Diceros bicornis minor: one gene and its partners. The protein of the gene in region 1 purifies or fractionates together with the protein of each later gene. This does not show direct contact. Links are inferred from orthologs where the notes say so. Each region holds a gene or a part of one and is shown on either strand. Other genes may lie near its edges. The genes, in order: ASF1B, HAT1, TLK1 and TONSL.

The links.
Region 2: the proteins of ASF1B (region 1) and HAT1 purify together in Homo sapiens (affinity purification with mass spectrometry; 6 studies listed by BioGRID and IntAct, counting the BioPlex papers as one, with this or other methods). This does not show direct contact. The link is inferred for Diceros bicornis minor from reciprocal best matches to the Homo sapiens genes ASF1B and HAT1.
Region 3: the proteins of ASF1B (region 1) and TLK1 purify together in Homo sapiens (co-immunoprecipitation; 3 studies listed by BioGRID and IntAct, counting the BioPlex papers as one, with this or other methods). This does not show direct contact. The link is inferred for Diceros bicornis minor from reciprocal best matches to the Homo sapiens genes ASF1B and TLK1.
Region 4: the proteins of ASF1B (region 1) and TONSL purify together in Homo sapiens (affinity purification with mass spectrometry; 5 studies listed by BioGRID and IntAct, counting the BioPlex papers as one, with this or other methods). This does not show direct contact. The link is inferred for Diceros bicornis minor from reciprocal best matches to the Homo sapiens genes ASF1B and TONSL.

Annotation. Positions count from the first base shown.
Region 1 is NC_080769.1:3,613,022-3,620,758, reverse strand, and holds the start of ASF1B (histone chaperone ASF1B), read right to left. Parts: upstream 3,009-7,737; 5' UTR 2,911-3,008; coding exon 2,802-2,910; intron 1-2,801. UniProt on the Homo sapiens protein: Histone chaperone that facilitates histone deposition and histone exchange and removal during nucleosome assembly and disassembly. Cooperates with chromatin assembly factor 1 (CAF-1) to promote replication-dependent chromatin assembly.
Region 2 is NC_080749.1:53,179,783-53,187,738, forward strand, and holds the start of HAT1 (histone acetyltransferase type B catalytic subunit), read left to right. Parts: upstream 1-4,945; 5' UTR 4,946-4,995; coding exon 4,996-5,002; intron 5,003-5,191; exon of another isoform or gene 5,192-5,283; intron 5,284-7,547; coding exon 7,548-7,652; intron 7,653-7,956. UniProt on the Homo sapiens protein: Histone acetyltransferase that plays a role in different biological processes including cell cycle progression, glucose metabolism, histone production or DNA damage repair. Coordinates histone production and acetylation via H4 promoter binding.
Region 3 is NC_080749.1:52,572,460-52,579,409, reverse strand, and holds the start of TLK1 (serine/threonine-protein kinase tousled-like 1), read left to right. Parts: upstream 1-3,939; 5' UTR 3,940-4,438; coding exon 4,439-4,577; intron 4,578-6,950. UniProt on the Homo sapiens protein: Rapidly and transiently inhibited by phosphorylation following the generation of DNA double-stranded breaks during S-phase. This is cell cycle checkpoint and ATM-pathway dependent and appears to regulate processes involved in chromatin assembly.
Region 4 is NC_080760.1:57,048,170-57,055,948, reverse strand, and holds the start of TONSL (tonsoku-like protein), read left to right. Parts: upstream 1-4,777; 5' UTR 4,778-4,859; coding exon 4,860-4,884; intron 4,885-4,976; coding exon 4,977-5,072; intron 5,073-5,288; coding exon 5,289-5,431; intron 5,432-6,006; coding exon 6,007-6,190; intron 6,191-6,560; coding exon 6,561-6,690; intron 6,691-6,988; coding exon 6,989-7,160; intron 7,161-7,249; coding exon 7,250-7,364; intron 7,365-7,779. UniProt on the Homo sapiens protein: Component of the MMS22L-TONSL complex, a complex that promotes homologous recombination-mediated repair of double-strand breaks (DSBs) at stalled or collapsed replication forks.

The DNA of each region.
Region 1 (7,737 bases):
AGACCTGCTCCACTGTGTATGAGAAGACAGCCCAAAAGACCTGACTAAAGGCGTGCAGAAACCTCCTGCAGTGGAACTCGCTGGAGAGGCTGTTCCCTGCCTTTTTTTTTTTTTTTAAAAACTTACCTAGTAGACTTTTTTCTGTTTGTCACTTTGCCTTTGATCATGATCGTAGAGATGAACCTTGGCCTGAGCACAGTGTGTCAGCTGTGGGTCAGAGCATGTGGCTCCGGGACTTAGTCAAGCAGTAACTGTTGAATTCCCCAAGGAGACAGGGGAAAAGCTCACCTACTGTATCATATGTGGACCCACGCCCTGGATGCATCCATTTCCAGTTGTTGAGGAGAAAGAGAGGAGAAGGGGCGTGGAGCCCTTGGGAACCATGTCAGCTGACTGAGGGGGGCTGGGCGCCTTGTCAGATTGTCAATTGCTAGCATCCTGATAAGGAGACTGATTGAGATGTCTCCAGGACCTGAGACTTCCATGGCCCAGGCCCCCTCCATCTGGGGGACAGGAAACAGATTCTCTCTGCTCCGTGGCCAGGAAGAGGCAGAACGCAAGTGGGCAGGTCAGAGGCATGGACAGCCCTACAGGTAGGACCGAAGAGTCCAGATTTCCAGGCCAGGGTTTGCTTTCCAACTTGAGTTTCTTTGAGCAAAAGCTTTATCGTCCGGGTGTAATTACTAATAGCACCCCCTGGGGCCGGCCTGGAGCTGGCATAGCAGTTAAGTTCAAGCATTCCGCTTCAGGGTTCGCCTGTTCAGATCCTGAGTGCGGACCTACTCACCGCTCATCAAGCCATGCTGAGGCGGCGTCCCACATAGAAGAGCTACAACTCTACAACTAGGATACACAACTATGTACTGAGGCTTTGGAGAGAAAAGAGAAAAAGAGGAAGATTGGCAACAGATGTTAGCGCAGGACCAATCTTCCTCAAAAAAAAAAAAAAAGTAAAATAAATAATAGCATCCCCATCACTCTTGAGAGTCCTGAGGCAGAAATAAATTCCACGGTCAGTTATATTCATGCTGCACTTCTAAAATAGGGGATGCATTTTCTTTCCCAGGTTATAGCAAAGATCAAAGACCCTGGACCCAGAACTCAGAGACACACTCTTGTATCAATACTGCCACAGACTGCCTGTGTGACCTTGGAGAAATCATCCCATCTCTCTCTCTTAAAAAATAACGACCAGCAGGCCGACTTTGGCCTTTCCTGCTGTGATTCTATACACAGATTGGTAAAGGAACAGGGCAGGGGCTTCCCAGGAACAAAAGTACTAGATAATAACCATGCAACCATTTTTAAATGCAAGGAGCACAAGAGGCTGATTGAAACCCGATCTCCTGCCATCTGGAAACTGCCATTCCCTTAACCTATTAGCTCCTTACATCTCCTGGCTTTAAAATTAAATTTTATTCCACAGCGTCATTCTACACTTTATTTATTTATTTACACCCTGCCTTGTTCCAGAAAGGATTTAACTGGGCTTATTCTATAGTTGGTCACAACTCCTTAATTTAAACAGGAGAAAAACCCGGGAGAGACTGACCACTTGGCCCAGCCGAAGCGCAAAATGCATCTCAAACTGAATCAACCCCAAGCTAATCCAAGTGGGCAGCTTTGCAGGCAAATCACCCACCTGCCATTGAGAAGCGCTAGTTAGCACACCCTGGCCTCGCTGGTCGCCCCCTCCTCAGCTGCTGCCTCTCCTCGTTTAACCACCAACTGAAGAAGTGGTCTAAGGGAGTACTTGCTCCCTGGGTGACCTCAGATTTTCAGATTTTGATAGACCTTTACTGGAAAAGTCTTTCACTCTGTGGCTCCCGTCTTCTCATCTGTGAGATGAGAAGCAAGCATTATGTCAAGCAGATGAATAAGTACATCCGTGAAACCACCTTTGAAAAAACGCACAAAAGGCTGTGGCCTTCCAGCTGACTGTTTGAAGCCAGACACCATCATGGCTCAGCCCTCGCCCCAGACTAGGTCAGACCATCAAAAGCATTGTAAGAATTGCAGCGGCAGTGAGGGGAACCTGGCGGGCAAACAGCAGGAAGCAGCCAGTGCTTGGCAGGCTGTAGCACCCCTCAGATCTGAGTGAGTCCACGGAAGCCCACAGTCAGAGAGGAGGGAGGAGCAGGAGCTCCTGGGGAGACAGGCTACCCTCCAAGACTGGAGCTGGAAGCCGGGCCATGCCTCCCCAGCTGGGGCTCAAGAGGAGGGGTGAGGCCAGGCTAAGGGGGCGGGAAGCCAGGTTCCAGGGTGTGTGATTTTGGGGCAGGACACGAGCAGGAGTGGGTGGGGGCGGGGTTGTTTAGATATCAGCAGGTTGGGGAGGGGTTATTGGGAGACAGATGGGGAGATGGGGATGAGTGAGGTCTTGACATGCGAGAGAGGGGTCTCACGGGGGAAAAGGGGAGGGAGCTTGGGGGAGAGGTCTCCACAAGGAAAATGAGGGCGGGGGCTGGGGTCTGCAGAGAGAAAACGGGGGCTGGGGTTTCCATAGGGAAAGTAGGAGAGGACTGGAGATTGGGGTCTCCATAGGAGACAAGTGAGGTGGGAGTGTCTCATCACAGCGCAGAGGCGATGGGTGGGGAAGACTGGGTGGCCGGAATGGGGGTTCGGCCATACAGGAACGGGGTGGGGGTGGGGGGATGAGGTCTGCACGAGAGGAAACGGGAGTAACGGCGGGGAGGGGGCGGGTTGGGGGGAATCCCCCGGGGAGGTTGGGGCTGGCGCGGGGGTGAGCGGGAGGTGGGGGTTGGCCGGGGGAGGGGGTCCCCACACAGGCCCAGCCTCACCGTCCGCCAGGGCCTCACTGCACTCGAAGCTGATCTCGAACCGGAAGGGGCTGTGGAAGGGGCTCGGGTTCTCCAGCACCGCCACGTTCAGCACCGACACCTTGGCCATCGCCTCGCCGGGCCGCGGCTGAGGCCTGGCTGGGGCCGAGCCCGCGTCCGGGTCCCGGCGGGTCGGCAGCGCGGCGTCTACACAGAGCTCTCTCGCCGCCTCTCTCCGCCGACTGAAGTGCGTCTCCGTCCGCGCGCCTCCTTCAAACAGCCGGCCCCGCCCTCCGGCCAATCACCGTCAACGCTCCCCGGCGGCGCGAGCGCCCCCTCAGCCAATCCTGGGGCGCCAGTCGGCACGCGCCGAGACGCCGCGGGCCAATCCGCGGAGCTCCCTCTCCGGGGTGCGCGAGGGAGGCGGGACCGTCTCGCGGCTTCTGGGTGTCCGCCGGGAACCAATCCCCAGCGTCTCCAACTCGGGTATCAAGGGCGGGGATGGGCGCAGTCAGAGCGCGGGGCTCCTCTCGGCCAATCCTGAGGGTTCTCGCACGAGCGTGGGCCGCGCTTCGCCCCGCCCTTCCGGGTGGGTCGTCCCGCGGGGAGCAGAGCCATCAACTGTCGAGCGGGGGCGCGCGGCGCTCGCTTAAGAGGGCGGGAAGGGCGGTGCTCGCGCCCGCGGTGATTGGCAGGCGGCGGTGGGGCGGGGATAAACCCGGTCTCTGAGAAGTGATTGGCTGAGCTGGCCGAGGGGGCGGGAGGAGCAGAACACTCGGCTGGGGATTGGAGGGAGAGGAGCGGAAGTCGGCCGCCGGCGCGGTTGAGCGGGTGTGAGGAGAGGAGGAGCGTTGGCGGCCTCGGTGGCTGTCCGCCCCTGAGCGTTCTGGGAGCTTCTCTGAGGGGCCCCTGGGTCGTGGATGTTTGCCTCAGCCTGAGGGGCGACGGCACGGCCGTGAGGCGGCGCGCTCGGGCCCGCGCCCCGGGAGTCGCCGGTGCGAGTCCCGCTCTCGCCCCTCGAGGGCCATTCGGAGGTCTGAGGTGGACCGCGCCGTGGACGGAGCTTCGAGTCCCGCCTCGGCTCCCGCGGCCGCGGCCACGCGGCCCGCCCTTGACCGGGGCCGTGGAGACTCCCTGACAGGATACGTCTGGAAGCTTCTCCGCGCCCCCACGCCGGGGCCGGACCCTCGGCGTCCCCCGCCAGCAGCGGAAAAGTAACGCCTGATGTCACGTTGTCCTAGTAACCACGGTGGAAAAAAAAGTAAAAAAAGGAGAAGTCAAAGTCAGTGTGTCTGGCTCTGGCTCTCGTAGAACTGAGAGATGAAGATGTGGACGCGCGGCCGCGCTGTTCCCGCGAGCTCGGCCGCGCACTGGCGTTTAATTGAAACGTGGATGAAAATGCAGCGACGTGGAAGGTTCCAGATCACGGTGGCACTGGCCACGTCCGGTGCTCGTGAGCCGCTGTGGCAGGCGGCACCGTGTGACTGGACAGCAGGTCCCAGCCACCAGCATTTGTGGTCGGGCCACCCGTGTGGCTGCGGAGAGGCCTGAGGTCCCGTGATGCTGCGCGTGTTGTTTTGTATCAGCATCTCATGTTCAAAAAGTTTGGTCAAAAAAATTGAAAGTTTTTTTTCCCCTTCGAAACGATTTGGCTGCAAGAAAATTCACATTTCTGACTGGCTGTGATTTCTTGGCCGTCGTGCGGCATGCTTGGGAACTTTTGTGAGGAGAAAATCGAATTTTCGAATTGTTTCTCAGTGTAATTCGGTTGTTTATGAATGCTGGATTTAATGGTGATTGAAGTCGCCAGGACGTTAGGTTTTCTAGACATTCAGTTAAACACCTATGCATTCTCGTTTTCTTCCTTTTTTTTGCTGAGGAGGTTAGCTGGCCGTGAGCTAACCTCTGTGCCCGTCCTCCTCTGTTTTGTGTGTGGGCGCCCCAGCATGGCCTGATGAGCGGTGTGTAGGTCCTCGCCTGGCCGACCCTGCGGACCCCAGGCTGCGAAGCGGGGAGTGACCTTAACCCCACGCCAGGCGGCCGGCCCTGACTTTGTAGTTTTCTTTTTGCATTGTGGAAGTTTTTTCTTCTGTCCCCGGCCCCTGCCTTTTTATAGCCCTTGAGAAGCTCGTCAGCCACCAGCGCTATGTGTGAGCTGCTGATGAAGAAAAGGGCCCGTCTGTAATGCCTTCTCCACACCGGCTGAATAATTTTCAGTTGCAGACCAGATCACGTCATTACCCTGCTGAAACCTTCGAAGGCTTATCAGACTTGGAATGAAACCTGAGGTCTTGACTGTGGCTTCGGAGGCCCTGCACCATGTCCTCAACTGACCCCTCGGGCCTCATCTGCTGGTCTCGCTCTTGTCACAGCTCTCCTGCGCTGCTGGCATTACTTCTCATCTTTCAACACACCGATCTCACTCCCACTGCAAGGCTTTGCACTTGCTGTTCCCTGTGCCTGGAATGTGCTTCCTTCAGATTATTGCAGGGCTGTCTCATTCTCGTCCTTTATGGTTCAACTTCAATGTCTCTCAAAGAAGCCTTCCCGGGCCACCCCGGGTAAAGTAGCCCCTCCTTAATCACATCACTCCGCTTTGTTATCTTAGTCACACGTATCAGGATCTGCACTTGTGTGGGTTTTAAATTGTGCTTATTCTCTCATCATCCCTCAGGAGACTGAAAGCTGGTTGAGGGCAGAGAGCTCACCTGGCTCACATTGACCTCTCGATGTGTTTCCAGAGCTTAGCACAGGGCCTCGCACGTAGGAAGTCTTCAGGAGATTTTTAAATTTTATTTATTGATTTTTATTGAGGAAGACTGGCCCTGGGCTAACATGCGTGCCCATCTTCCTCTATTTTATGTGGGACGCAGCCACAGCATGGCCTGACAAGTGGTGCGTCGGTGCACGCCCGGGATCTGAACCTGCGAACCGTGGGCCACAGAAGCAGAGCACGTGCTCTTAACCACTACAACACTGGGCTGGCCCCAGGAGATTTTTTAAAAGAATAAATCCATATAAAGGGCTTAGCATAGTGCCTGGAATGTGAAAGCACTCCATAAAGGAGCTGTTAGTAGAGCAGTTAGTAGTGCATTGTAAGAAGGAGAGAAGTCTTCATTCTTATGTAATATTTCAGGTGCACATGTTGGAAGAACTGTAAGAAATGCTATAACAACACAGGTGTTTACTGCTTACCCAGCTTAAGAAGTGAAACGTTAGCAATGCAATTGAAAGGCCTGCTATACCCCTGCCTCAAATCCATTCCTCTCCCCTTTCCCTCAAGTGTAACTACAATCCTGTGTTTGGTGTTTAGTTTTCTGTGCGTGTTTGTACATCTTTATGTGCATGTGTCTTTAAAACAATATATAGTATTGTATGTCACATCCTACAATTTTAAATAAACGATATTTGCGCAAAAAAAGAGTCACCATAGTAGGCCTGAGACTGCTATCCTTAGAAAGGCCTTGCAAGGTGGGCCCTTGGCTGGCGTGTAGGAACCTGGATTTCAGGCAGGTTCCCACCATTTCCTGAATGATACGAGTGGCTCCCGGTGCCTCAACTGTACAGATGATGTGGTTGGTGTTGAGCACCTGCTCTCCTTCTGGAGTCTGGAAGTTTGGTGCTTGACCAGCCCTCAGTAAATACCCTGGGCACTGAGTCTCTGATGAGCTTCCCTGGGAGACACTGTTTGACCAGTGTTGTCTCAGCTCAGCTGTAGAAACCGAGCACGTCCTCTGTTACTCTGCTGGGAGGGCACTCTTGGAGGCCTGTGCCCGGCTTCCCGTGGCTGCTTTCGCTTGTGTCCTTTCACTGTAAGAAATCACAGCTGTGTGTACAACTATCTGCCAAATCCTGTGAGTCCTTCTGGCGAATCGTTGAGGCTGGGGGTGATCTTGGGGACCCCTGACACAGTATCATACCAAATATATCCTGTCAGGGCTGGAACTATGGTGAGGCAGGCAAGGCACCTAAGGCACAAAATTGAAGGAGGCGCTCGCTCTCAGGGCCACACAAGTGCCCAGCCTGCATGACCCTGAGAGTGAGTGCCTCCTAAAATTTCCACTCTAGATGCCTTGCTTGCTGCCCTCTAGTCCCGGCCCTACCTCCGAAACCTGCTCTTTGCATCCAACATACTCCTTTTGAGATGTATCTCTGTTGCCACACGGGGGTAGCTCAGATGCATTTCTGTTCCCTGCTGTATTGCTGTGCTGTCCGATGTGGTAGGATGAGCCACATGTGACTGTTAAAATTCCACTTAGTCAAAATTTACTAAACTGGACAATTCAATTCCCTGGTCACACTCAGCCGCACTGCACTATTTTATAGGCACCCGTGGCTAGTGGCACTGCATTAGACAGCCGGGATCGAGAACACTTCTGCCACCACAGGACGTTTGTTGGACAGCATTTACGTTATCTGTTCACCTCTTGCTTGACGTTCAGGTTGTTTCCAGTTTTCTCCTCTCAGACAGTGCCGCAGTATTCATCGTGGTATGTGTCGCCTTGTGCACACAGGCAGGAGTTTCCCTGGCGTACACGCCAAGGGCTTGCATGGCTGGGTTATGGCAGTGTTCACCTTGATTAGATATTGCCAGTTTGCCCTTAAAATGATCATCCCACTTCTCACTCCCACCAGCAGTGTTGCTGTTGCTCAGTGTCCTTGTCAACATTTCAACTTGTCCGACCTTCACATTTTTGTCTTGTGGTGGGTGTGAGTTAGTGGTTTCGGTTTGTATTATCCTGATTACTAGTGAGGCTGAGCTATTTTCGTTTGTTCATTGACCATTTTGCCTTTCTCCTGTGAATTGTCTGTTCATATCTTTGCCCATTTTCCTGCTGGATTGTCTTCATCTTATCTGGCACAGAAGTTCTCACATCTGAGGCTTGCATTTTCATGTATATGGTGTCTTTTGATGCTCAGAATTTATTATTATTATTATTTGAATGTCGTCAGAATG
Region 2 (7,956 bases), on another chromosome or scaffold:
CTGGGCCACAATATCACCTCTATCAGTTACTTGCTGAGAAACCTCAAGTAACAGTGTGGAATTAAGTCAGGGATCTTCAGAGGTGCATAGATGATTGAGAAGATAGAAAACCTAATATTTTAAAATTAAAATTTCTGTCTAAAAATTTTAGCCAAATTTTTTGTGTAACATAAAAAGTTAACAATAGCAATATTTAATATAGGAATTAACAGAAGTAAAAATATATTAGATATATATTTATAAGAAAATAGGAACAAAAGCTTGTATGCATATATATACCAAATAAAAAGTATGACAATGACTAGATTATCTAATTTCTAAAATCACTTTGCTCGAAAATTCCTGATTCTATATTATTCAAATTACCTTAGTTTCTCTTAAACTACATTAAAAAATACCACCATATCTATAGTAACAGAAACCTCCTCATAAACAACAAAATGTTAAATTTACAAAGATATGAAAAAGTAAACCTTTTATTCTTTAGATGAATCCTAACCCTACCGATACACCCTTCTTACCTGATCAAGCAGGTTCTCTTTGTATTATATGGTACCAGTTGGCATGACCCTTTCTTCTTCTTAGCTCATTCAAGAGACTGGCAAAGGGATTCTCTGAGAGCCCTGTGTTGATGAGATTAATGACAAACTTAAAGTGTGGATTCCCTCTAGCAAAATTTTCAGAAAGAATTCTTTTAATTTTACTAATTTGCACAGTGACTGGTTGGTTTAGCTTGTTGACAACTGTACATATTCCCTCAAAATTCTGATTTGTAAAAAAATTTAGAAGAAACACTACCATAAAGCTAAATTTTATTTTATTTTATAATTCTTTTAAGGAACAAGTTTATAAACTAAACAACTAACAGTATTATATAGCTGATGTAAAAGCTCCTCCCTTTGTGTGTCCAGATCATAGGAAGTTAAGAGTCTTGCTGTGCGTAGTGATATGGGTAAATAGGTTACAAAGGAGTTGGCTAAAAACCAATCCATTAAAATGACAGCTTTCACAACAATGGGAATATACTTAACATTACTAAACTGTATGCTTAAATATAATTGAGATGGTCAATTTTATATGTTTTTTACCACAATCAAAAAAAACAGGACTGAAACAATATATCAGTTTAAAATGAGTATTTCTAGTTATAATTTTCACCACTTTTGTCTTATTTCTTTAATATCTAAGTAGCTTTGATAAAGTTTTCTTCACCCTCCCCCTACCCTAAAGCTCTTCCATATTAAGAAACAACACAAAACAAGAGCAGAAAAATTTAACATAGAAGAGTAATGGTCATTTTTTGTTGGCTAAAACGGAAAAAATAATTAATATTTGAAATAGAATTTTAACTATGGAATGTGAAATGTCATAGGCATTATTGTATTACTCACCCTAGGTAGACATACATAATTAATGCCATTCTTACAAATTATAGTTTCAAAAAGTAAAAGAGGCATCACAGAATGGTAATTTTGGGAACAAGTATAAGCAATTATAGTGCTCTTCCCTCATTTTGACAAATCTTTGCTTGTAAATAATGGCAGAATGTAAAACTAGAAATGCTAATTTTCAACTAACTGTTCCTTGTTTCAATTGCTGTTCCTCTTTGATTCTGTGTATCAATTTATAGAATGTAAAGAAGAGGGTAAGAGTTAGCAACCATGTCTAAAAACTTTCAAAAAGATTGATAAGTTTCTAATTATGAAAGAAACCAATACATTCTCAGGAGAAGCAAAATAGTATTTTTTAAAAATTCCTCATTAATCTCCATCTCCAAATTCCCCCTCCTAGCGGCAGCCACAGTTAAACTTGTTAGGTATGCTTTCGGATGTTTTCTATGTTTATATCAAAATACACTTTTTTATACAAATAAAATAACATTATAATGTTGTGTAATTTATTTTTTAACCTATTATATAGTAGATATTTTCTGAAGTCAGTATATTAGCCAGCCCCTTTTGATGAATCTTTAGGCTGTCTCCTATTTGCAAGTAAAATTAATGCTGCATTGAACATCTCTGTTCATATATCTTTGCATTCCTGTGCAAATAGTTTTCTAGGACAAATGCTTATAAGTGGAACTACTACCTCAAAAGATATACAAATTGAAAATTTTGTTAAAGTTTTTAAAATTGTGTCTTAACAAGTACTAGTTTGTACAGCTATTACAGCTATGGGTGGTGTATGAGAGTTAAAAAATGTAATGTGCTAACTGTTGGTAATGTGTGTCTTTAAGTTATTTCTCTAACAGTAATTTTCAATATGAGCTGGTCTATTTTTATTTTCTGTCTTTTATCTCATATAAAGGTCATCTAGCTCGGTAGGGGATTCTGGATAATTGTTCTGGGAACTGAAACTCATACCCCACCCAACCCTCACCATTAGCACTATGAGCTAAACAAATGAGTTAACTAGCTACTGTTATTTGTCTGCAGAGAGGTATATACTTTGAATAAAGACACATCAAGTACCTGCATTTTTCTTTTAGATCTCAGATTTCCTACATCCATTTTCTGATGACCATCTTTTTTTGCTGAGGAAGACTGGCCTTGGGCTAACATCCGTTGCCAGTCCTCCTCTTTTTGCTGAGGAAGATTGGCCCTGGGCTATCACCCGCACCCATCTTCCTCTAGTTTATATGTGGGAGGCATGCCACAGCATGGCTTGATAAGCAGTGTGTAGGCCCGCACCCGGGATCTGAACCTGCAAACCCCGGGCCTCCAAAACGGAGCACGCAAACTTAACCACTACACCACTGGGCCAGCCCCAATGACCATCTTTTTAAAACCATGTTTTTAAAAAAATCCATTCAGAAAGTTTTAACAAGATGGCAAAATTTACTAATCTATATGCACTTGAACATGTACCAAACATATGGTTGCTGGTTCATTCTTAATAGTGTAATATGGCCTTTTTCTCTGGAGAAAAATGCCTTTTCCAGACCTCCTATCCTAGAATAAATGTTATCATACTAATACCACCCCAGATTAACACAGAACTTCAGAGTTTACAAACCTCTTTCATGAATATTGTTCTATTTGATTTTCACAACAACCCAATGTGGTGACTGGGAAAGTATTATTATCTCCCCTTAACACATTAAACAAGGTTATACAATCATGAAGTACTAGAACTGAGACTAGTAGGGCTAGTCTCAGAATTTTCCATATCTCTATGCTGCCTCTTCCATATATATCAGCACAGCATAGTCCTTTCGTAGAAATTTTATTTCATGGTGGTAATGTTCACTTCCTAAAACTCTGTTAGAACAAGGTAAAATATAAACTAAAAAAGAGAGAAAAAGCCCTACCAGAAAAAGAAATACTTTTTCCTTTTTGGTAATTTGACTATCACCTTTCTAAAAGAAGTCATTCTTTTATCTTTTAGGTAAACTGTACCTAAACATGAATTCTGTGACATTTTAATATATGTGAACAGCTCTGAGATAAGGACAATTTAAAACTGTAACCTCAATTCTACAAGCTAAATACTAGTATGCTACATACTAAATGCTAGTCACATGATATACAGGTTTCATCATATTTCTTATTCATATTGATATTCATATTTATCATATATAGGTTTCATCATATTTCTTCCCTACAATTAACCATAAAGTCACAGGACTACACTGTTTCAGATTTGCCTGCAGTTAAGACAAATTCCTATTGATTTCTTATTATAAGGATCATAATTGCTGGTCAGCTATTGACCTACAGATAAAGTGCTTTCGAAAAGAGATGATGAGTCTTGCCATTCTGAAAAAATTATTTATAAAAAAAAAAGATTGGTTTTCTTTTTGAATCCATGTCATTAGTAGCATTGACTTCAGTTTTCTTAACATTATGATAGTAATGTCTAGTGTTTCATTAAGGCTTAAAGAAAAAGGATCTGAGCATTCTCGGTATCTTTTCTGATCTTTATCTTCGGGAGGGCCATCTCTACGCAACTGAACAAATACTGGGCTGAGCGTCTGGAAAGCTGGACTCTTGCACAGGCTGTATACTGAGTGTGAACTTGGGCAATTTCTCTTTTCTGGGCTTTAGTTTTCTCATCTCTAATATGAGGGGTGTTATCAGTTCTAGACTATCATCCCAAGGGTCCATTTTAGCTTTAGCATCATCATTGTAAAACCTATTAACCAACATTTGTTGAGACAAGGCATTCTAGCGTACAGACAACATTATGGGAATATTTGTGGATACCTAAATAGTGGCTTATCCTCTGGGACAAACAGTTTCAACAATTACTAAATACTAACCAGGACTATGGCTTAAATTAGGTAGCATCCTGTGATGTGGTTCAGCCACTAAGACTTGAGACATGTAGCACCAGATCAGGCCACTTGAGGTATTATTAGGTAAAAATTTCGGTGTACTAAATGGTTGCCTAATAACCTTGAGTGCAAGCAGAGGACCTAAATATCACACTATATACCACTAAAACACATGAGCGAAAAGAAAGACAATGTTAAACAAGTATATACGGCAAAAACAGACATAAAATAAGTGAAAATTTCTTACGCAACTGCAACTCAATCCCTACATTCTCCCTACGTAAAGCTAGGGCTCAGGTGTTTGGACATTCCACTGCCCAGGCCAAGGAGAAAATTTTCCTACCAGTCTCCAAAACATCGCTAGGGGGGAAAGAAAACAGCCGTAAGATCTCTATCTCACTCAAATCAACCCGAAAGAAACTGGTCGGGCCAGCGGGAGTCGCAACATTAAAAGCCTCTTTTTCGGCCTCTCCCCCAAGTTTAGGCCTGCAAAGGTGCTGACGGCACTTGCCGCGGCTACGGTCTGAGCGTTCCCAGCGGTGTGAGCCCCGCCTCTTGAGGTGCTTCCGCCACCCCGCGCCTCAAACCTCCTCCTCTCATTGGCCAGCGACTTGCCGGCAGTGGGCGGGGGAAATGCGTCAGACAGTGCGCTCACTTCCGGCCAGGGAGCGCGCGGGTTGATTCGTCCTTCCTCAGCCGCGGGTGCTGGCAGCTCGGAAATGGCGGGTAAGTTCCCGGGAAAAGTTTAGCAAGGGGAGGGGGCGGGCAGGTTTGTGAAAGAACGCTGTGACGGTGGTGACAGTGCCCCCTCGGAACTTTCGGGCTCTAACCTGGGTTCCAGAAGGCCTGTGTCAGTCTGGAAGTGCGGAACTCTCAGCCCTACTCCTTGTCGGCCGAGGTTCGTGCCCCCGCCCCCAACCGCTCGGGGTTCTGCGCCTGCCGCGAAGAACTCGGCCCCTGCGGAGGGCCGAAGAGGCCGGGGAAGCGTCGCGATGGGGGCTTGTAAGGTGCGGATGCCTTGAGGCCTGTTTCTCTTCTCTTTCGTTTTGTCCACTGCTGCCGCAGCTACGCTAGTCTGGTCCTTTTCCCGCCAGCCGATTTTAATGCTCGGATCCTCCTCCTCCTCCAGGTCTCCCTCCACCTTCCCCTGCGGTCAACTTCTGACCAGCGCATTGCTGCCTTGCCCTGCACTAGGGCTCTCACTTGAATCTGGACTGACTTCGTAATCGTCTCCTTAATCTCCCGCACTTTAGTATTCCTAGGATCTATTTAGATTTCCTTTGAGAAAGAAGTTGTTTTCGCGTTCTTCTTTCGTCTAAACTTCTCTTTTAGAGTGTGTCTACTATGATGTAATTCGCTTGTGTTCATTCTATTCTGCTCTCTTCTCTTATTGAGTCTCTTCAGTTTACAACATTTAATTAACTAATAATTGCTGTTATTTTGTACGTCTGTTAAGACCGTTTTGGTGTGAGTATATGCTTTTTTGCCAATAACATATCTTTTGAAGTGATGGACAGTTTCAATTTTTTATCTTTTCCCAGTGCCTTCGTAGTAGTCTCACTTTTATGGATATGCTGGATGGACAGGCTAGCATGAGCTCTACAGATGTTTATCTGTTCTACCAGATAGAGACTGTAGGATCTTGGGGTACACTGGTACTATAAAAGTGAGGGGAGCATATTATATATTGTATAGGATGTACATATTATAAGAATTACACCTAAATTCGAATTTCAGCTCCACCACTTAGTAGTTGGGTGCTGTTAAGCAACTCTTTCTAAGCCCGAGCTTTTACATATGGAATGTGGCTAATATAGTATCTACTTTTCTTATAGAATTGTGGAGATTAAGCTAATGTATGATTTCAAAAGTTAAATTTTGTTGCTGAGGTTATACATAAATTCTTTGAGGTGGGTTCTCTTATCTCAGTTTTTATAAATTAGGGTCAGAGAAGTCAAGTAATGTGCTCTAGTTCACAGATCTAGTAAGTAAATGGTGAAGCCTGGATTTGAATCCAGGAATTCTGATTCCAAACCATAAATGTATATTGCCTTAAGTGTTCCCCATTTTCTGTATATGTGTGTTTTAACCACTTATTGAAGTTTATGGCATGTCATTGTACCTCTTTTGTTTCTGCTTATGACTCTTTTTCCTGAATTTTTACTAATTTACGTTCATTTTGTCAGGAGATTTATTGTCATCTTTGCTTCAAAGTTTCTCTTGATAATGATTTCTTCCATTAATGATTATATATATTGATGGGTAGCCAGGTTGTAGTAAAACCATTTGGGTATTCCAGTAGCCCATAGTTTAAGACTTATGCACATATGGTCAAAAAATTTTTTTAATACAGTGAAATTTTCTTTCCTAATCTTGTCCACATTCCTTCTCTCTTATCCTAGAGGTAACCATGGTTACCAGTTTCTTGTGTATCCTTCCTGAGATGATCTATGCATCATCAGTTGATGGTTTTTTAATAGTTGATCTGCAAATACTTTGGGTAGAATTTTTCCAGTATTAGAAATGAAATGCTACTGTAATTATAAAAGGACATTCTCACTTTGTTTCTTAGTGGAGCACTGGCATCCTTTTTCTATTTCTTTTGAAAAAGCTACTTAGTTATAAATCCTAGCAGGTAATTTACATTAGAATTAAATATTCAGAAATGTCAGTAGTCTGTTGTGTTAATTTTCAGGTTTACTTGTTTATGTAAAGCATGCCTAGTTCATAAGCCTCTATCTTAAAAGTGATTTTTTTCTGTTTTATAATGAGGCAGTCATACTCAGTACATTTATTTAGGAGTGTATGGAGAATGACCTGTACTTTTATGATCTATTAGCATGTTTTATTTTATTTCATTTTTTTATGAGGAAGATCAGCCCTGAGCTAACATCCATGCTAATCCTCCTCTTTTTTTTTTTTGCTGAGGAAGACCGGCTCTGTGCTAACATCTATTGCCAATCCTCCTCCTTTTTTTTTTCCCCCCAAAGCCCCAGTAGATAGTTGTATGTCATAGTTGCATACCCTTCCAGTTGCTGTATGTGGGATGCCACCTCGGCATGGCCAGAGAAGTGGTACGTCGGTGCGCGCCTGAGATCCAAACCCAGGCCACCAGTAGTGGAGGGCGCACACTTAACCGCTAAGCCACGGGGCCGGCCCTATTAGCATGTTTTAAATCTTACCTTTATTCCACTTCTAATAAGAACCTTATTTGTAGGTTTGACTATTTAAATCACCTCCAACCAGACCTTTTAACAACCTTTTCTCTTAGGATTTGGTGCTATGGAGAAATTTTTGGTTGAATACAAGAGTGCAGTGGAGAAGAAACTGGCCGAGTACAAATGTAACACCAACACAGCAATTGAACTAAAATTAGGTATGTATGCCATTTCTAAGTGGGGTTATGTAGGTACTGTGTGTGTGTGTGTGTGTGTATAATCTTTCTTTTTAAATTAGAAGTAGAATTTTACGTAAAAGCTGTTGTTTATGTACATATGTAGTTTTCAACATATATTGAACACATTCAGATTTTATTCAGTCTTGATTTATGTCATAGAGTGGGTAGATGTTTGAGAGATGGCAGAGGTTACATATAGGAAGTACAGTGTGGCAAAAAATGGCAGGTATAAGTGGTCTTAGCCTCTTAAAAATATTTACCTTTATTTTTTTGCTTATAAAAA
Region 3 (6,950 bases), on another chromosome or scaffold:
TGGGGGAAAGGGGCTTAGGCATTAATTATTTTCTCAAATTGAGAAGGAATCAAATGTTGAGGTATAAAATGCATTTATTATACCTATAATATTGGATGCTTTGTAAATATTTTTTCTATGGTATATAAATTGAAAAGAGTCTAATAAACATAGTTGTAAATTATGATCAGCCTATAGATCAGGGCTCATATCTCCCCTTTTGTATATGACCTTCTGTCAGGAGACCCTTGAAGCCCTCTTCTCCTGCGTTGTTCCCTCATCTGTATCCCAGCTCATTGATCCTTATCATTCATTCATTCCACAATGACAGAGCCCTTGGTCAGTGCCAGGCACTGTACTAGGGGCTTGAGTCTGTACTCATGGAGCACTCAATTCACAGAAAGAACATTCTCCCCAGTCTCTTCCCAATTCTTTCTAGGCAGGTTTACTACATTCTGCTTTTACTTGCTCAGTTCACTTCTGTGTTTTCCTGCTGGCTTTCCCTCTGGGAATATTTCCCCAAGGAAGCTTGCCAAAAACTCCCTCCTAATTATCTTTTCTTGAGATTTCTTCTCTCCCATAGAGTGGCAGGTGTTCCCTTCTGTCTGAATCTGGACTTTCTTGACTTTTCTGTATCTTTTCCTATTGTGCAAGCTATCACTCTAGCCCCATCTATCTCTCTACCAAACGTTTTTTGAATTCCTGTGTACTAGCCGATGTGCAAGGTGTGGAGGAGCCTCTACTTACCATTTAAAAGTTTTCATTTATCATAATCATTTTATAAAATTATGCATTTACACAATTTGTGTGCAGGCCCTTTTTATGCTTAAATTTCTTAAGAAATACATGATTTATTGTACAAAATTTGAAAGGTGTAATGGAGGAAAGAATAATTATGTAATTTCACAACCCAAGGCTAGCCGTTAACTTTTTAGGGTGCATCCTTGCAGTCATTTATTATGCATACTTACAAATCAGGATCATACACACTTATTTTCACTTATTACAGTGTGAAAATTTTATCATCTTTTTCAGTATTCTTTGAAGACATGATTTTAAATGACATGACATTCCATTTTCAGGCTATGCCACGGTTTATTTAATTAGCTCCCTCTTGCTGGCAGTAGCCTCTTTATAAGTAAGTCAGTGTTGACTATCTTTATCGTAAGCTAGAAGAAAGCAGGAATCAATCATTTAATTGTCCTTCCTAGGAAGCACTTATACCAAAAATTTATCTAAAGTAATTGGATTATGTATATGCTGTGATCCTTTGGTTACCATTTAAAATGAAAGGAGTCAGTCTGCATAAAATGTAACCCGGGTTGGAATAAAGGTAACCTGAAGCTCTGGAGACAGTTGGGAGGAAGATAACCAGAACATAACCGACCATCAGATCTCTTTGGTTGAGTTTTGTTTACTACTCTTGAGAGGAGCTAAGCTCTGTATAAAGTCTGGGAATTGGTAGGGGCTTTAGAAATCACCTGGTGACTCGAACTTCTTTTTCATAGATGAGGAAATTGAATCAAGAAGGATTGTTACCTGCTGAGACTAATACCCAGGTTTCTTGACTTCCTTCCTGTCTTATGCTCTTTTCACCACAGTCAACTGACTAAGCTTTCTCTTAAAATACAGAAAAGGCATACGTTTATCTACATGTTGTAATAGGAACTGTTTCCCCTTAGAGTGCATGTACTTTGGTATAAAAATCTAATGGTAAGGACCTAGGTATGTATCTGTGGGAGATCAAGATTTGGCCACCCTGAAATATATCTCTTTACCTTGATTGTTTTCTCTGAGGGACATTTCACCTCCCCCACTAACTGCCTAAAGAATTTGACAAGGTGGCTCCTTCCTGGAACAGATCTTCTATCATGATGGCTGTAATGATAATGTAAAATAGATGTTACAATGGGAGGGGCACCAAGCCCCTTTTATCAAAAAACTCTCTCTCTCCCTGACCACATTATCTATAGATGACCCTGAAAAGAATTGTCTTCTTGCCCTCTGAAGTCCCAGACAACTCCCCACCCCCCACACCTTCCTTGCCTTTAGCTATAATACTTAAGCAAGCAGCTTAGACAGAGGGACGAGTTGCTCATTTCTGAGTTTCTCCCATGTATACATGTTGTTAAACTTGGTATTATTTTCTCCTGCTAACCTGTCTTGTTGATTATTTGGCCAGCCATAAGAACCTTAAGGGAAAGGGCAGAGGGGGATTCTCCCTCTCTCCCCACATAGCCAAGAGAAAGGAAAGCACATGTCCACACAAAGACTTGTACATGAATGTTGATAGTGGCATTAGTCATAATAGCCACAAAGTGTAAATGATACAAATTTCCATCAACAGGTGAATGGTTAAAGAGTGTGGTATATTCATACAATGGAATAAATACCTAGCAATAAAAAGAAATGAACTATTGATAAATGCAAAAATGTAGATGAATCTCAAAATAATTATATTGAGTAAAAGAAGCCAGACAAGAGTACAAATGGTATGATTCCATTTATCTAAAATTCTGGAAAATGCAAACTAATTTAAGTGACAGAAAGCAGATCTGTGGTTACTTGGGGATGGGAGTGGAGTGGAAGAGGAACCTCAAAGGGATAGAGGAAACGTTGGAGGCTGATGGATATATTATCTTGATTGTACAAATGGTTTCAGGGTTGTATACATGCCAAAACTCAAGTTGTACATTTTAAATATGTGCAGTTTGTGTCAATTATACTTCAATAGAGTTGTATATAATTTGTGAGATCTACCTCAACTTTGAAAAGCAGATCATGACTAAAAACTCACTGAAGAACCTGAAGCATAGGAAAACTAAAATTACTTCTGGAGATAAACGACAACGAAGGCTCTATTCTAGTATGATAGTTTATCTGAACAAAACATTACTATGAGAAATGCAAAGTCATAAAAATAAAAAATAGAAATGACATTTTTGTCCCCCTGGTAATCATGCCATTTCCTCATGCTTGTACAGTTGCTGTATATCATAATCTTTTCAGTGTTCTATTCAATTTGGTTTTTTAAGGAGAGTAATAACCTTGTATTTTTCCTAAACTATTAGACTGCTCTTTTATGTACAAGATGTCCAATCCCTGGTATGTCTGTACGTGTGTGGGTGTGTAGAAAGCTACATTGTATCTATTAACTTAAGCAACTGCTGTAATTTGCTTTGGGATTTTGTAGTCAGGACTCAGCAGCAGCACTGGAAACAAATTGGAACTTTCTAGAAACCATATCCTCTTTTACTAGTTTTCCTAAATATATGAATCCAGTAATCAAATTTTTCTATTTAGATTTTCCACTTACTGTTTTAAAACAAAGAACTGCTAATACAGTGCACAACACCGGTAAAGATTCTCTCTTTTTAGAAAACATTCATAAAGTTTTATTTCCACCTCCCGCCCCCAACTTATTTTCTTAGCTTTTATTCGGTAATCACTCCCATTCCGCAGACAGGGAGACGCACACAGGTTTTTTTGCACAGCACAGAGGAGTAAGAAAAAAACCACTCTCAACTTTTCAGTTCCATTTTGAGAAACGATCACATCGAACTCCTGAGAAACGACAGCCCAGCGAGAGCAGAGGCATTTCTCCTCAGGCTGGGTGTGGGTCGGGAGCCAAGCGCGCTTCCGCGGGAGAGGGGGTCAGGTGGCAGCGGAGCGGGAACGGGAGCCGGAGCGCCGCGGCGGGGGTCCGTGCGGGGCGCGCCTCCCTCCGGCCGGCGCGGGGAGGCCGCCCCCGCGCATGCCAGTCCACCGGCCCGGGGCTCCCGCGCCGCGCTGCGATCCCCGGGTGCGCCAGGGGCGCCGGCGGCCGCGTCACCTCCCTCGCGCGCTCGCTCCCTCCCCACCCCCCCCCCCCGCCCCCAACCCCTGGCAGGTCCCTCCCCCATGCCTGCTCCCGCGGCCGCCGCCGCCGCTACCGGAGGCGCAGGAGCCTCGCGATAGTGTTTGCACAGGCGGCGCGTGACGCCGTCGCCGCCTGTAACTGATGCAGAGGTTACCCCGCCGCCTCAGCCGCCACCCACCGCCCGCCGCCGCCACCCGGGCGACGCCGGGGGCCGACGCACTGCAGAGGTGCCGGCAGGTTCCGCCCGCGGAAGTCTCCTCGGCCGGCGCAGCCCGCGCTCCGCCCGCGCTCCGACCCCGGCGGGCGCCCCCTCGACGCCTCCGCCGCCGCGCTCTTTCCTTCCGCCTCTTCCCCGGCGCGCCCGCCTGCTCCCTCGCTTCTCCCCCTTTTCCTCCTCCCCGTCCCCTCTCCTCCCCTCACCTCTTCCCTCCCCACCTCCCCCCTTCTCGGTTTCCTCCCCCATCCCCTTGACTCTTCCCTCCCAGCCCTCGCTCTCTCGCTCGCCCTCAGCGCGGCCCCCGCCATGACGGAGGCGGGTGCCGGTGCCGTTGCCGCTGCTGCCGTCGCAGGGGGGGAGTCGTGTTCTCAGAAAGTAGCTTGATGAGTGTCCAAAGTAGCAGTGGAAGTTTGGAGGGGCCGCCATCTTGGTCCCAGCTCTCCACGTCTCCAACCCCGGGCTCGGCGGCGGCGGCCAGGTCCCTGCTGAATCACACGCCGCCATCCGGGAGGCCCAGGGAAGGTAAGCGCCGTCGCGCCCGCGCCCGCTCGCGGGCCTCTCCTCCCGCGCCGCGACCCCCGCTCCTCGCGGGTCTTCTCTCCCCGACCCCGGGGTGGGGGATGGTGGCGAGGTGGACGCGAGGCCGCCGGGCTCCGGGGAGGTAGTGCGCTGGCTGTGGGTGGCGGTTCGCGGGTGGCGGAGGTGACGGACGAGGGGGTGCGCGCTGGAGGGGACGGGGCGAGGCGCGGCACACAGACTCGCCTGGATACCTAAGAGCCAGTTCTGCTAGGGTGGGAAGCCTCCCCCGGGACGCGAGCCCCTTTCTGCTCCATTTGCTAGTACACTCGGTACTCTTAACCTCCTAGCCTCTGGTCTCTGGTGGGTTTTCCCTCCCGTTGAAGCATTCATCCTCGAGCCCCCTCCCCTTCCCTCGCGCACTCCTCCCATAGAGGCGGTCCCCGCTCTGCAAGCTCTGCTGCCCGGGACCTGGAGGATGCCCCTCGCTTGCAAGGTCCCTGCCCATTGGGGAGCGCCGCTCAAATGATCAGAGCCGACCTTTATCCCCTGCCTGGCCCCCTAGAGCAATTTAAGCGACAGACTGACTCGTGGGCTGGCTTTTTAAACCACCCCTCCAGATGGTTGCAACTTTCTCTCCTTCGCCATCACCTCCTGCGTGTTTGTGCGTTCTCTCTCTACGGCAAGTAGGCTACTGTTCTTCTCTGACAGGGCCGTGGGTTTTGTGGGAAATATCTGCGTAAAGCTTACTGCAAACACGCACCAGATCGGTTACAATTGTTTTCTAAGTTTTCCGGCTTCTTGCATGCCAGTGTGCTGCCACCAGATGTAGCAGTTACACAGCCAGTGAGACACCGGAGTGCTTTTGACTAAAATTTCAACTTGCTGTATTTAACTTTAAGTATATGACATAAAATGAAATTTGAGAGAACACGCATTTATGGGGGAAGAATAAATGTGCGTGGAATTGCATTTAACACTCTTGTCTGGAAAACGTTTAGCAGTATTCATCAGCAATTGGTAAATGGGTTGTTCACCCCTAGTTGTGTCACGCAAGGAGATTGTAGCCACATTTTCAAAAAAACGCTTGGAAGTCTAGTGAATAGTGAATAGTCTAGTGAATCCTGTAATCAAAAGCTTTGACTTATGTAGGAATTGGTAGGATTAATTATTTTGAAAATATCTGTCAATATTTACTACTCAGAGCCTTGACAATTGTTAATCAAGTGTTTTGTGCCCTGAATCCAGTGGTTCAGGCATAGCATTCTTTGTCATTTTGTTCCTGTGAGCATGTGTGAAAGTGACAATAGGCTCAAAGATTGGCATGAATTTGCTCTAGAAAATTCATGGAAAGGTTTGATTTATGGCATCCATTAAACATGCTGAATACATTGACAGACATTTTCCCCTTTCCTTGTCGCCCCCAACACTGAGTTCGGATTATTAGAAAATAAAAGTTTATTTATTGACTAACTCAAATTTAGTACATTTGGTGATTTTTCTTTTTGCACTTGAAAATTTGTAAATATTCTAAAATCTATTTTTGTAAATAGAGCAATTGGTGTTTTTATCGTGCTTTTACTTTTGTCTGTAATTTCGTTAATATGCTTAATGATAGTGTTATGAATGGTGGTAAATGATGGTCTTGGGAAAGACTGTCTTCTTTTCTTTTTTTTTTTTTGTTCTGTCAGGACCTTTTTTTCATTCATTTCTCAAATATTTATTGAGCCATTTCTGTGAGCCAGGCGCTGTACTAAATACTTAGGACATAGTGTTGAATCGTTCATCAGTAACATATATTATCAATATTAGTAATTTTGGACCTGCAAAATCTAGGTTGAGAGTTCTGAGGTTACTTCAACTCTAGTTAAAAAACTTCTCTGCTATTCTGTACTTTTCCTGATATTTGAAAATTTTGTGGGGTTGGTATAATTTATCTTGTACTTTCAAATAACCAGAATTTTTTCCAGCAGTTTAGATTAGAAATAGATTTTTATGTAACCTAGACTCTGGTGAGTCTCCATTAATTAATGAAATAACAAGGCATGCTTTTGTGCAAGTTGTGCTTCACACCAACTACCTGAATGGCCATAATGGTATATTTCTTTTTGACCACTCAGCATGTAAGTTAAAACTGTGTTAATCCTCTCTGGGGTTATGTATTCATCTTGAAGCTATAGTCTTAGATTTCACTAATGCCAGCAGAAATTGTATATATGAAGTCCCAGGTATCAAAATGGAGATGTTTTCTATTGAGATGTTTCTATTTCTGTTTATTTTATCAAGTCTTGAGCATCATTTCCAGGTGTGCACGTTAGTATATTGTATAAATTGATGTAAATTGAGAGAGCTTTTGGCTTCTGGTGACTGCTAGTAAGA
Region 4 (7,779 bases), on another chromosome or scaffold:
CTTGTTCTCAGAACTGCATCCTGTCTGTGTGTCTGCTTACCCACGCCCCTGGGGCGGGGCCTCTCCCTCTGCCGAATGGGCCCTGGGGGAGGGTGAGGAGGGAGGCCAGTGGGGGTTGGGGCTGGCTGCTCACTTCCCGCAGCCTCTGGGCTCCCCACAGCTAACGCGTGTTACTTCTGTTTATAGTTGTTTCCCCAAAGCTTGTGTGCGCCTCCATTTGCCATAATTGCGTTTGATTTGCGTTGTGACAAGTAGAGCACGCTGTGTCCTGGTAAGTTGCCTTCCTCCCTGGCTGAGCCTGTGTCCTCGGCCGGCCGGTCGGGAAGGCGCCGCCACCTGGCCCTGCCCACGCTGACTGCCGGCTCTTCCCGGCCTGTCTGTCTCCACAGAGGTCCAGTTCCGGCCGTACCGCACCGATGACTTCATCACGCGCCTGTACTACGAGACGCCGCGGTTCACGGTGCTGAACCAGACATGGGTCCTGAAGGCGCGCGTGAACGACTCGGAGCGCAACCCCAACCTGTCCTGCAAGCGCACACTCTCCTTCCAGCTCCTCCTCAAGAGCAAGGTCACGGCACCCTTGGAGTGCTCCTTCCTGCTGCTCAAGGGCCCTTACGACGACGTGAAGATCAGCCCCGTCATCTATCACTTCGTCTTCACCAACGAGAGCAACGAGACGGACTATGTGCCGCTGCCCATCGTCGACTCCGTGGAGTGCAACAAGCTGCTGGCCGCCAAGAATATCAACCTGCGGCTCTTCCTGTTCCAGATACAGAAGTAGGCGGCGTGCCGTGCTGCCCACACCCACCCGGCAATGGCTTCACTGTGCTCTCTGACCATTTTAGTGAAGGAGGAAGGAACAGAAGTGAACGTTGGGAAAGTCTGCATGTGTGTGCGATGGTGTGAGCACTCTGCCTCGCCCTCCGCCCGGCCCTCTGCCCCGCCTCCCCTCTCCTGGCACCAAGACTGGGCCACTTGCAGAGGAGACGGCGGCTCAGGGAGCCCCAGCGCAGCGAGGTGCACTGCCCGCTCTGGGCCGGGCTCAGGCGAGCTGACTTCAGACGGCATATTTGATTGCAATTAAAAAGGCACCTTGTTTGCTATTTTCTGTCTTGTTGGAGGGGAAGGCGCGGCTGTGAGTGGACAGCGTGGGAGCTTTGGTTTGGCCTGTGGGTCAGAGCCTACCCATCCCTGTTACTGCACCTCCATGCGCCCCCAGCAGAGACTCGGAGATGCTGCCCCCTCCGTCCCAGGCCAGGTCTGGGGGGCGGTAAGGGTCAGGGGTCTCGCAGCAGCCCCAGCGCACCGCCCCCCCAGCCACTCCAGGGAGGCAGGACTTGGCCACCAGGGCTCAGCAGATGTTTCGGAATGCAGGGTGAAATTCTGTCTCTTCCCAGGAAAAAAATTAAACTCTTTACAGGCTCTTCTGTAAGGTATACACATTTAGCAAGAGAGAATGGATGTTCTGTATTGAGCCTGGAGAGCACAGCGTCCTCAGGCTGTGAGGGAAGCTCTGGGGGCCGCTGGTGGTGAATGAGCCTGGCTGGGTGAGGGTCCAGGTGGGCCGGCCACCCTTTGCTGTTCTCAGGGACCGGCTGCTGGCCCTGTGTCCTGAGGTCTGCTCCAGAGGTCAGTGCTTGGGCAGCCTGGTTTCTCACCTGAAGGAGGTGGGCTCTTCCCAGCCTTGACTTTGCAGCCCCAGCCCCAGGACTGCAGTGAGCAGGCCTGGTGTGTGGGCCTCACAGTGTGGGAAGGAGCCTTGCCTGGAGGAGCCCAGGACCCTTGGAACTTCTGGGAAGGGGAGAGCTTAGCCACCACTCCCCTTACTTAGGAGACGTGACTCTTCTGCAATAGCTTTTCATTGCTTCAATACCAAAGAACCGTTTCCTTTGCCCCTGTCCAGGCCCACCCCATGCCTCAGAGCAGCAGCCCCCACCACCTGCCCACTGCCAGCCTGGCCTCTCCAGTGCCTGGGCCCTGCAGGCTCAGCAGGTAGGGCAGCCCTGGCAGCAAGAAGAGAGCTGCGGGCCTGGCCTGTCTCTGGGGGCTCCTTTTGGCCCTCAAGTCAGGGGCTGAGAAATGAGGGGAAGGAGCTGTAGGATAGAACAGGAGCCTCACCCTAGTTCCTAGTGGCCAAGGCGGCCCTCCGAGTCAGTTCTCCCCCAGGGCGGCTCCCCAGGTTCTTCTGAGAAGCCTATTTGGCTTTCTGTTTCCAGCCCAGGGCATGGGGCTCGCGGGGTATTCCCTTCTGCAAGGCTGACTCTGCCTGGCCACTGAGGGGACCAGGAAGCGCTATGCTTAGTTTTCTGTTCTCTACAGAGGAAGACTCCACCCCAGCCCCCAGCACATCCTTGGGGGCAGCGATCTCTGACCTAGAGACAGTGTGGCGTGAGTCCCACTGCCCTCAGGGCTGCCCCCAGCTCATGGGCACAGAGGATGACATTCAGGTACACACGTTATCAGGTCTCGTGTGTAGAGGATGGCACATGTCACTGCATCTTGGTGTCTCTCGGGGATCAACACCTTCTCTGTAGAGTTTCTTAATTTCAAAGTGACCGTGTTGTGAGGGGAGCCGCGGCGGGGCTGGTGCCCAGTCTGTGTGCGTTTGGGTACCTGTGTGAGGGATTGAGTCAGCAGAAGGGTGGGCCCCTGGCGGCTCTCCTGGGATGGGGCAGGGTGGGAGGCAGCAGATTTCTGTGTGTAGATGAAGCTATGTGGTTCCCAAAGCGGGTTGGGCAGGGCGCCACAAGAAGGGAGAAACCAGGGCTGGCTGAGGCCCCTCGGCTCTGCCTCCTCAGTCCTGGGGCTAGCAGCCTTGCATGTGTGGGGTAGGGGGCACGAGGGGCTGGGCTCTGGGGCACCAGGGTCAGTACTTCCGGCAGCCCAAGGGTGTGTGTTGGAGCTGGGTGGCAACCAGGCGAGGCCCTCCCTCTAGGAGTGTGGGTGTGTGGGGGTGCCTGAGAGGACTGCTAATACATCCCAGCATCGCCATCCCAGCACAGCCCTGCCCTGTAACCGTCACCTCAGCAGCTGAGCCTTGCAGCCTGGTGGAGCCAGGCACCCTGGGAGATTGTAGTGCGTCTCGGCCGCAACTGGGGGCTGGTGCCACAAACCTCTCTGCGGCATCTCACTGCAGGTCACTGATTCACTGGGGGATGTCCCATCAGTGTTGTTAGAAAGGAGAAGACACCAGTGGTCTGTCTCCAGGACCCCATGCCATCTTGGCATCCTGACCTGGAGGAGGTGGGGGTGCACCCTCAGCAGATGTGGGGGGAGGCTTGGGGCACAAGCCAAGCCGGGTCCCCTCTCCTCCTTCCTCACCCCCATTCCCCTGTGAGCATTACATCTCAGATCACCCAAAATGAGACATTTACAAAAATAATAAAAATAATTTTTTAAAGAGCGGAGCGAGAGGTGTTTTTACCACTGTCAGAAATGACTCACACGTCACTTTTGTGGTCTGCGTTCTCTTTGGATATTTTCTGTGTGTAACTACAGTTTAAAAAAAGTTCCAAACCATGTTTTGTCTGTGTTTCCTTATGAGAAGACAGCCTCATGGATGGGCTTTCCTGGGTTCTGCTAGCTGCCCAGCCAGGGGTCAGCTGCTGCCCCCGCTGGCCCCCAGCCTGTGGCCTCCCCACCCTCCAGCCCCTGCTCAGCATCACCTCATATACACATCCCTGTCTGATCAGTGGCGAAACTGAGGCATACAGAAGTTGGGTGCTCTCAAGGGGAATAGGGCCCCCAGGACCTGGGCTGTCCTGTGAATGCGGGCGCTGGAGGGCGAGCCAGGTCAGCTGGGGAGGCTCCCTCCGCCGTTCAGCTGAGCCAGTCTCTGCATCCCTGGCCTTGCTCCCCCACCCCGCCTCCACCGTCGCCCCTCGCTGTGCCCCGCACAACTTACCGCCAAGCAGCCGCCTTGGCTTCAGGGCCTCCCTGTCCTGCGTCCTGCGCCCCACACCCCTGACTAGGGGCCAGGCAGAGCACCTCACCCTCCAAGAGAAGAGGACGGCCACCCGGGTCCAACTTCCCACCTCCTGCAGCTCCTCGGGTTCGGTCTTGCCCCGACCCCTGCGGCCGGGCACTGGCCCTGGGCAGCCTTCCCTGGACCCATGGACCCATCCGCCCCCACGTCACTCCCTCCCCAACAGCTTGGCTGTGCATCCACTGGCTGAGTTTACCCCACTGGTCTGTTTCTATTTCCACAGAAAACAAATGAGTCCATCTCCCAGGGCTTCCAGCCTCCTCTGGGGCCTTTGAACGCGGCCAGTGCGTGGCTCCCAGGCCTGGCGGGGCGTGCTGTGCGCGGCCCTTACGTGGGGCCCGGGTGCGCGGCGTCCGCCAGGCACCGCAGGTGAGCGGTTTGCGCTACGGGACCCCGGGCCTGGATCCGGCCCCTCCGCCAGCAGCACCGGCCTCGAGTCCCAGAGGTGCCGGCTGCCGGACTCGCGGGTTCCGCGGTTCTGTGGGAGGGGGCAGCTGGTGCCGCCTCCTCTTACACGAGGGCAGCGCGTTCCGCAGGTAAAGTCGCACGTGCAGGTAGGTTTCTTGAGGGGAGGGGGTGTCAGCAGCAGCACGGGGCTAGAGCCCAGGAGACCTCCCCCAGGGCGGCTGAGGGGCCGGGGTGGGGGGCGGTTCAGCTCCCTGGGCCGCCCCGGGAGTCCGGGGAGGCGGGCACCAGCCAAACTACAGCTCCCAGGATGCTTCGGGCGGCTGGACTACACTTCCCGGGATGCTCCGCGGCCCGCGGGGGCGAGACTGGGCCTGCGCGCGGGCACTGGGGGCGGGGCCTGGAGCGGAGCCGCAGTGGTGGCGCGGGAGCGCGGGAAGTCTGGATCCCCGTGTGCGGCGGATGGAGTATGAGCCTGGACCGCGAGCTTCGCCGTGAGTTCCCCGGCCCAGCGCGGGGGCCGGGAGCGGGCCTGGCCCCCTAGGTAGAGGGGCTCAGCCTCTCGGCCTCGTTCCTCTCTCTGCAGAGCTGAGCAAGGCCAAGGCCAAGGCCCAGAGGAGCGGGCAGCTACGGGAGGAGGCCGCCCTCTGCCACCAGCTGGGGGAGCTCCTGGCCAGCCATGGTGCGTGCTCCGCGCCGGGCCCGGGGTGGGGCCCGGGGCTGGGGGGCCGGGAGAGTGAGGGGGGCAGCCGGGAGGGCCGTGGGGGTTGTGGGGCCGGAAGGGGGCCGGAAGGGACAGGGGACTGGGAGCCTTGCTGAGCGCGCCGCCCAGGGCCGGCCGCCGCCCCGCTTGCCCTCGCGGCCCGTGGCAGACTGCCCTGCCCGCCCGCCCGCCCAGGCCGCTACGCGGAGGCCCTGCGGGAACATCAGCAGGAGTTGCAGCTCCTGGAGAGCGCCGACGACCCCCTGGGCTGCGCCGTGGCGCACCGCAAGATCGGAGAGCGGCTGGCGGAGATGGAGGACTACTCTGCTGCCCTGCAGGTGGGCGGTGCCCCGCCAGCACCCACTCTGGCCACACCCCGCTTTTGTGGGCCGCACTTTGTGGGGGTCTCTTTCTGAGAAGGGAGGCACAGTGTCCACTGTCCGGGCCTCTGGCCACATGGGGACACCCTGCAACGCAACCTCACTTTCAGAGAGCCTTGTGCCAGGGAATGGTAGGTCAGTCCTTAAGTGGACACACACAGCCTCTTCTAGGAGCCTGGCCCCAGAAACCATTACCAAATGTATTATTTGAGCTGCGTTTGTGGGCCGGCTGGGGGGGTCGGGACACACTGTCCACACAGAGCCTGCCCTGCAGCAGCCCAGCTAACTCCTACTCATTGTCCCTCCTCTATGATGACACTAGCTGGCTGGAGTGTGGAGCTACTGTCCCCACAGGCAGCCCTTGGCATAGAGGAGATGGGGTGTGCGTAGTTTGGCTTTGGCCTGCTCTGGGGGGTGGTTTGAGGAGCAGGGGGCTCTCCTGGGCAAGAGTAGGGACGCCCTGGAGTTGGGGGACATGGAAGGTTTGCTTGAAGTGGGGTTTGGCTCACAGCAGCCATTCCTCTGCACCCTAGCACCAGCACCGCTACCTGGAGCTAGCCCATTCCCTGTCCAACCATATTGAGCTGCAGAGGGCCTGGGCTACCATTGGCCGCACCCACCTGGACATCTATGACCACCACCAGACACAGGATGCCTTGCTGCAGGCACAGACTGCCTTTGAGAAAAGCTTGGCTATCGTGGACGACAAACTGCAGGGTGAGTGCCCTCAGGGGCATGGCCTTCCCCACCATCTGCCCCCAAAACTGCAGGCAGAGGAGGTTGCAGCCTCCCTGCCAACCCTGCCTGCGTGGCAGGTTCCACCTGCCTGAGCCCTCCCTTTGTGAGACGGAGATCTGTCCTTAGAAGCCCTGCTATGAGGGGATGCATGGCCTGTGCTCATTGCAACGTGGCATCTGGTGATTGTCTGCTTTTTGTTTTTCCACACTCTGCAGCAGGACCCTTGGCACCTACAGTGAGAGGTGGGAGGAGGGGTGGGGGAGAGGCTGGACGGGCCTTGGACAGGGCCCAAAGCTGGAGACTCCAAGTGGGGATGAGGCACTGAGTATCTGGAGGGTGCGTCTTTCAGGGACATTGGCCAAGCGAGAACTGAGCGAGATGAGGACCCGACTCTACCTCAACCTGGGCCTCACCTTCGAGAGCCTGCAGCAGATGACCCTGTGCAATGACTACTTCAAGAAGAGCATCTTTCTCGCTGAGTAAGGCCCCCCACTCGGTCCCAAGAGGGAGCTGAGTCCCTGTTCCTGGTGGAAGTAGCTGGGGAATGGGCAACTGAAAGGGCAGGCTGGCTGGACCTCACCCCCGCCCCGTCCGTTTCCCATTAGCAGAGGAGCCCTGGCATGTGTGTGCTGCATGCTGGGGGGGGCAGCAGGCCTGGCGTGACAGGGCTGGAATCCCGAGTGGCATCAGCAGCTGCTCGTCAGTGCCTCGGGTGCCACTCTGCCATCCCAAAGTGGGAATGCCCCAGGCACTCTGAGCGCCTGTCACCACCCGCAGGCAGAACCACCTCTATGAGGACCTGTTCCGCGCCCGCTACAACCTGGGCGCCATCCACTGGCGCAGAGGGCAGCACTCCCAGGCCATGCGCTGCCTGGAGGGGGCCCGGGAGTGCGCACACATCATGAAGAAGGGGTTCATGGAGAGCGAGTGCTGCCTGCTCATCTCACAGGTGCCAGTTCTCAGTGGCTCTGGGCTCAGCCCCGGGGAGGCCTTGGGCCTTGGGGAGTCTGCAAGCCTCACCTTTCCTCACCCCCCCAGGTCCTCCAAGACCTGGGGGATTTTTTGGCTGCTAAAAGAACCCTGAAAAAGGCCTACAGGCTGGGCTCCCAGAAGCCTTTGCAGAAGGCGATGATCTGCAGGACCCTCAAGTATGGTGAGCCTGGAAGGGGTCCCAAGGAGCTGAACCACCCTGGGAAGGGGTAGAGAGGGCTCCCCTCCCTCGGCAGAGGAGGCCCAGGCACATGTCCTTGGGGAGGTGGCAGCATCAGTATGGGACATCTTCCTGGCCCCCCATTTCCTGTTGGGAGGAGACCCCCACTTCTCTGAGCCAAAGCATAGCCTGTTGGAGGGGCACTGAGAGTGGTAAGGAGATTGGCTGGGTGTTTAGGTATGAGTCAGTGTCTTCATTGGCAAGCTGGAGATAGAAGTCGTCCCTGCCTAATGGCTGAGAGAGTGGGTGGCGCCCGCAGCCGGGAGGACTAATGAGTGTCATTCGCCAGTGCCCCCCCCTTTGCCGTCAGCCAGGCACTGCTCAAGTTATTTGTTAGTTCTTCTAATCCTCGCAGCCC